2 separate regions of the Mus musculus genome follow, and region 1 is reported to be linked to region 2. Evidence: microRNA targets listed by miRTarBase, many of them from high-throughput screens and not tested one by one. Region 2 holds a microRNA gene; the other region holds the end of a gene's coding sequence.

The links. Region 2 holds the annotated microRNA mmu-miR-770-3p (CGUGGGCCUGACGUGGAGCUGG, at 1,181-1,202, shown strand). A microRNA usually pairs through its seed, bases 2 to 8, with sites in the 3' UTR of a target mRNA and lowers its output. Matches are read on the target gene's strand: a 7mer-m8 pairs with bases 2 to 8, a 7mer-A1 pairs with bases 2 to 7 and ends in A, and an 8mer does both.
Region 1: miRTarBase lists Syt7 as a target of mmu-miR-770-3p. Seed matches in the 3' UTR shown: 7mer-A1 at 1,203-1,209 and 7mer-m8 at 3,192-3,198.

Annotation. Positions count from the first base shown.
Region 1 is chr19:10,447,825-10,451,223 of GRCm38, forward strand. Syt7 (synaptotagmin VII) reads left to right here. Exons shown (of 12, transcript NM_001373944.1): 12 at 516-3,399. The coding sequence ends at 620. Among named protein-coding and RNA genes, the nearest start is that of Lrrc10b, 7.9 kb to the right of the region's middle.
Region 2 is chr12:109,562,564-109,565,962 of GRCm38, forward strand. Mir770 (microRNA 770) reads left to right here and starts at 1,129; the gene lies at 1,129-1,222. All of the region lies in intron 9 of Meg3 (maternally expressed 3), which reads left to right. It also overlaps a transcript of Rtl1 not described here.

The DNA of each region.
Region 1 (3,399 bases), not on the chromosome of region 2:
CAATGTTGCAGGGCCCTTACAAGAGCCTAGGCTGCATTGGCAGTCTAGAAGCACCAAGACTTTCCTTATACCATTTTGAACTTTTAAACTATGACTGAAGGTAAGACTCTTAACTCTGTGTGTTTTCCCATCTGAAAACTGGGGCTAATCTGGTAGTTTGTTCACCTGCCAGGTTTGGAAGCACACACTGACCTCGAGATATATAGCCCCCAGTACAAAGTCAGGGGCGGGGCCAGGAAATGCAGGGAGATGGGAGAGACAATAACAATGGTGTCCCTTCCTAGGTCAGGGAAGATTGCCCCAGCCAAATGCCTGTATCCTGACCTTCACTGCAAAATAGGTAACAGTTTGATGTCAAAGGGCCAGGCATGCCCAGGCCCTTGAGGGATAGCAGTCAGGAAACTAGGTCAGGCTGGCAGGAAGGGAAAGGGGCAGCCTCTGTGGGCCAGGCTGTTACTATGGGACAGGGCCCAAGCCTCAGAGCCTGCCATTACGCATCTTCTCTTCCTCCCCAGATCTACCTGTCCTGGAAGAGCGGACCAGGTGAAGTGAAACACTGGAAGGACATGATCGCTCGTCCCCGGCAGCCTGTGGCCCAGTGGCACCAGCTGAAAGCCTGAGTGGGGCCAAGGGAGGCTCCAAGGGCCAAGGCCTGGCTCCCCATCATGCCCCTACCACTTTATGCACAATGCCCAGCCCGGCACCCCTGCCATGGTGAGGGGAGACCCCGAGGGCTCAGCCAGGGAGGGGTACCAGAACTCTACTGGGCCCCATTTCTAGGAAGTACCAGCCCCACCCCATGAGTCCAGCTCAGGGGTGGGGGCTTGGGAGCCATTCCCTGCTTTGCCTCTTTCTTTCCTGATTTGCTGATACTAAAGACGTGGGGGAGAGCTCAAGAGCCAGATGGGCAGATCCCTCCAGAGGCCCGCCAGGTGGGCATAGCCCCCGTTTTCTTTAAGGCAGTGCCTGGAGTGGAGAGAAGCCACCCCTTCCCTAGATCCCCTTTTTGGGGCCCAGAAGAGGAAGGCCGAGGCGTTTGGCCACGGCCTGGTCATCAGGCCCATCCCCAGCTTCAGGTGCCGGCTGGGCCCTGGACACTGAGGATAGTATATAGCCTGTGCTCCAGAGTCCTGGAGATGTGGCCCTGTGTATTTGTGTTGTGTCTACTGTGTGTGTGTGTGTGTGTGTGTGTGTGTGTGTGTGCCCACATGCGTGTACACATGTGCACCTGGAAGCTCATGCGCACGTGTGGGAAAGGGGGAGCTCACTCCCTATCGCCCTGGGACCAGCAGTGCTGATTGGCTATGGAAAATAGCAGAGTTTCGTGAGGATGAAGTAGGGCTGGGTCAGGTAGAGGTCAAGGCCACAGGGAAGGTAGGAGAGGAAGGGTATGGACGGCTGAGAAGAAGTGGGGACCAGGGCAAATGGCTGTTTCAGCTGCCTCCTGGCACCCACTTTGCCTGTCTCTGTAGCCCCCACCCCCACAATTCCCCAGTAGCAACTCTCTACTGCAATGTCGTCCCTTGGGCCTGGGCTCACACTTTGTAGGCACCTACTCACCGTGTGCATGGCCTTCCAACAGGGCACCACTCCCATCCTTCTCAGGCATTCCTAACCCCTCGCCCAGGGACCCCCACCTTTCCAAATCTCATTTTGCAGTCAAATTGGCATCTGCTCCACACTCTGGCTTGGATATAGCCCCCGATCCCCACCCCTTGCCCCGACACCTCCACCTTTTCTTTGCATAATCTGATCAACCCCTGGCCTTCTCCAGGCTGTCTTGACACATACCCCACCCCCACCCCTACCCCCACCCCAGAGTAGCAGCTCTTTCTGCCCCTCCCACCCACCACGCAAGCAGAGGAAGCGGGGAGCATTCCAGGAGTCTGAAGTTGCCATACCCAAAGAAGCTGTCGTCCCTTCTCCCCGCCTCTGCTGAGACTAGAACTGGCTTCCCTTTGGAAATAGCAGACTCCAGAATGATCCCTCTTAAGTCCTGTCGTCCCTCTGTGCTGTATTGAAAAGACCCAGCTGGTGAAAGAGCCTCAAAACCAATTCAGAGACTTGAGCCCAACATACCCTAATTCTACCACCAGGTGGCACCAGAACACCACATCTATGGTAGCAGTTGGGGACCATAAATACAGTTCTACCCTGACTGGCACCTTGACACCCCAAGGATGGAAGGGGCTCTGGACTGCATCTGCTTATCTAGAGCACAGTGGGAACACAGTTATGTGGGCACAGTTTCCTTCAGTGGGCTTCCCCTTAAGCTCACCCTTCTGCTCTAGGTGGGAGATCTCCTTTTGTCCATAGCAAAATGTCCTTAAATCAGATTTCACACCCTGTCCCCAGGGACCTGGAGGAATCCCTTATGTAGTAGGTGAATCATTCGTAGAGTGAATAATTCCATTGTAAAACAAATAGTTACCCATATTACTTGTAAATCTAAATGTTTGTATACTACAGCTTTTGCTTTAAATAGGACCATCCCCAACTCCCTTGCCCAGCTGGGTGTAACCCCAGGAAAGGGACCCTCCCAACTCCCTGCAGAGGCTGTGTGGGAACAGAAGAGGGTAATGTAGAAAGTCTGGAAACTCGAGAGAAATCGCTGCCATCCTTCCTTCCATCTGCCTCAGTCTCCTGAGTGCTTCCACCAAGGCATCCGAGGGGCCCGAGCAACCTGCACCAGCAGGTGTAAAGTTGGCAGCGGGTTTATGCAGAGCGTGCTCCTGCACCTCTTAGCCAGTCAGCTCAGCATCCCCCCACATAGCTGTTCTCCCCTCAGACTACTAGGAATAGTAGTGACCCAGCCTGGGTGGAGGGGTGGGGGGGCCAGCCAGACCTTGCAAACAGTGGGTGGAGAACAGAGTGGGTTTGCACAGGGTGCAGCTGGATGACACAGAGGCTGGGCATAAGATGTTAGGGCAACTGGGGGAACATGGAAATGGGGGGGAGGGACTTGAGGGTGAGGAGGGCACCAGAGCTCTGCCACCACTGTCCTAGGATCTTGGGCAAGTCACCCACACTCCCTGGGCCTCAGTTTCTCCATCTGTAAAATGATGGTAATAATACTTCACCTACCTCATGGGGGAGGTTGTGAGGCCACCATCACCTGACCTAGGGGGTCAAGGCAGGAGGGCTCTGAAGGTGCTACCCAGAGCAAAGTTGTCAGTGAGGCCTGAAAGCAAGGCCCACCTGCCAGTCCACCCTACCCCACAGAGCCTCTAGGGACCGCCAGAGCCAATCTGTCTCTTCACTGTGTCCCCACCCCCTTTATGAGCGTCATCTGACATCTTGTGGGCACCCTAGACTTAGTTGTTACATTGTTTAGGTAGCTTTTCTTGTGATCATCTTCTCTGTGTAACTGCTATACAAATTCCACCTGCCCCAGCACAC
Region 2 (3,399 bases):
ACCATGGCCATGTTTTGCTTGCAGGGGGCCATTTCACTGTCTGTCACATCTTCAGTCCATAGACACATCCCTGCACAGTGCCCTTTCCATAGACGTGGATAGGAGGGAAGGGCTCAGGCCTGGGGCTGTGGAGATGATTGCATGAATAGGGGGCGCTATGCCCAGTGGGTACCTTGTCTCCTCTCTGGGAAAGGATCTCTTCTGATCCTGATGGGAAGGGGCTTAGCCAGCCAAAGGGCAGGGATAGGAGGCTTTGTCTGCTGCCTGCTGGCTACCATCTTGAGTGTGACTTACACCAGGGTGCAGACAAAGTGAGCTTGACCTGGAAGCCTAGAGGCCCAAGAGGCCCGGGTGAAGCAAGTATCTCTGAGATCAAGCCTACCCTTCAGCTCAGAGAGTGGACCCCTGCCTAGGCTCCCACACATGATCCTAGGTCCCAGATATGCCACCCCTGGAGCCCGTTTCAAGGCCCATCTTCCAGAATGTTTAAACCTGTGTATGTAACCAGTAAAATGGGAGTTTGTACTGTGTATTGAATCTGTCTTCTTATTGGCCTCTGTGGGCTGCTGGGGGAGACCTGGAGAGTTGTTTATTCTAGTGTCCCCCACCCCCTGGGACTCTTTGCTTTTGCCCAGTTTTCTTTCTCTGTTGTGGATAAGATTTTGTAGAGTTGTGTGTTGTATGCTTGTGTTTGACCATTAAAAAAAAAAAAAAAGTCACAGCCCTCCTTGATTTCTCAATTCCTATTGGGGGTGCTAAATTCCAAACCAAACCAATCCAAACCAGATTCATGTCAAGTGCCCAACAGGAGGATAATAGCTTGGCTGGATCAAGGGAGCATGTGCAGACCCAAGAACAGAGTGGACAGATGGGCTATACCGCAAGGGGGCTTTGAGAGCTGAGTGCAGGCTAAGTAGAGAGAAGGTATGGAAGGTTGGGGAGGGTGGGGCTGCTGCTACCTGAGTTGCTGAGGGTCTGAGACACCAGCAAGGAGGAGGGGCCCCTGGAAGAAGCGTTTTGAGATGACTGAAGATGGAAGATGGGCGCTCCCTACGCTTCTAGCTTCAAGGTTTTTAGTGTACGCCAGCCGCCTCCGATCGTGGAAGACACAGCCTAACCTTGTCAGAAGCCACCTTCTGTGCCCCCAGCACCACGTGTCTGGGCCACGTGAGCAACGCCACGTGGGCCTGACGTGGAGCTGGGGCCGCAGGGGTCTGATGGCCTCCTGTTTCAGAATCTGGGGCGTTTATCATCCTTGGGACAACTGCTGACCTGGCTCCGGAAGATTGTCCACACAAGTCTGAGTGACGGAGTGAGATGAGGGGGCGGGTGGAGATGCTCAGAAGAAAACAGCCTTTGCATGGGGTTCATTTCCAGCTGTTTAGAGAGTCAGCCAAGGTGACAAGGTGGGGTTGGATGCGGAGAAGAATGCTGGGACTACATGTGGGCTACAGCTGTGAAGTCAGTGACATGGGGCAGCATGGGGATGGGTCTCTAGGTGGGCCTTGTCTCAACATTCATGCCAGAAGATTGGAAGGGGTACCATGGGTTACTGTGGGTCAGTGGGACCTTGGAAGGAACAAGGGCTTGGGTAGGTGACTTTGCCATGTCACCTTGGGATCTAGTTGTTTTGAGTCTTTGACTCTTAATCTGATCTTGAATAACAAATGTCTCTAGTTCTGGGGTTCTGAGAGTCTGTGGTAGGATTCCCTAGGATTCGTGTGGGGAGGGCGGTCTGCATGTGCTCCCAAGTTGGTGTCCCAGCCCTTCTGCCTGCTCAGGGCTGTCTTAGACATATTTGCTTTTCCTTTCAACATCATAAAAGAAGGCAAATTTTGTCTTTTGATTGACACTCATATGCAAACCACAACATCCTTTCTCTGATAATACTGGGACCTACAGCTCTCCTCGGCTCCCCCCGCTATTTGAGCCCACCTTTGGGGCAGGTAGGCCAAAGGCCCTGGTGTTTTCTGAGGTGAAGTTGTTAATGTAAAGATGTGTAACTCAGAGCAGGGGGAAGAAACACACCCTCAACTCTGCTTCCCCGTGCTCCATCTTCCTTTCTGCCTTCCAAATTCTTATGAACACCGTTTTTTTTTTTAAATTTTTTTCCATTTAATGAGCATCCTTTTTTTTTTTTTTAAAGCTCCATTGGTGGTGCTTACTTTTCTGTTGGTGTTTTGTGTCTGTTGCAATGAGCATCTTGCTGTCCACGTTTTCGTTGCTCCATGGTCTCTCTCACCTGCTTGAGTTCCATTGAATGGCTATGACATAATGATCTACCCATCTTACTGTTGCTGATGCATGATCATCTCCTGTCCTGTTTTTTTTTTTTATTTTACATTACCGATGACACCATAACTAATGGCTTTGCACAACCAGCTTTCCCAGCATCCCTAGCGCCCCCTACATCTAGCTCTTCCCATGGTTCCTTTCTTTTCTCCTTGCTTCCTTCTGCTAGACTGTGAGCCCACTCAGGGCAAGGAGCTTGTGGAACTGCGCTCTGTATTTCTTGTAGGATGTCTATGAATGTTGACTGCGTGTGTGTGTGTGTGTGTGTATGTGTGTGTGTGTGTGTGTGTGTGTGTGCGTGTGTGCGTGTGTGCACGTGTGCGTGTGTGCGTGTGTGCATGTGTGCGTGTGCGTGTGTGTGTGTGTAAGGGTGGACAGGTATGAGTGATGGAGTGATTGAAAGATTGGCAGACAGATGAGAGGCTAGATGAATGGATGAGTGAATGAATGAATGAATGAGTGAGTGAATTAATGGATGGGTATATTCTCTGGTTGAGCTTCTTGGATGAAAGGGTAATGTTTGAATGGCTGTTGGTTGATTGAAGAAAGCCTACAGTATTTTATCTTGTCTGATAATGTATTAGCATTTAAGCTGATGTATTAGTATTTAAGGTGTCTGCTGACTTTCCTCACCTCTCTGTTAAAAAATGCTTTTGTGTGTGTAAAACTTGTTCTAATTACTAATGAAGGCTGAATACTTTTCACCCATGTTTGTTAACAAATTGTATCTTATCTTCTGTGAACTGTTTGTCCAAGTCCAGTGGCTCATGGCTCTTTCAGGCTCTTGGTTGAGGGTGTCCTTAGACTAGGCAATGGCCTTTCACAGATATCTACAGAATGATGTGAGAGGCTCAGCTGACTTCTAGCTCGGCATTAGAATTTACTTACCCTGGGAAACAGGGAGGCTGATATCTTGCACCAGCAGGTAGAAAACACTTTTAGGCTTGTGTCTGGGTTCACCATGCATTTCTAGCTTGTGAGCCCTGACCTGTGCTCTGTACCTCTTGTGGTGTGGCAGTCCTCCACCTTGTCCTCCTGAGTGATAGACTACATATATGCCTCTCCCCTGTTCTGGGGTGTAGTCTCTGAGGCCATGTCTTAGAGGAA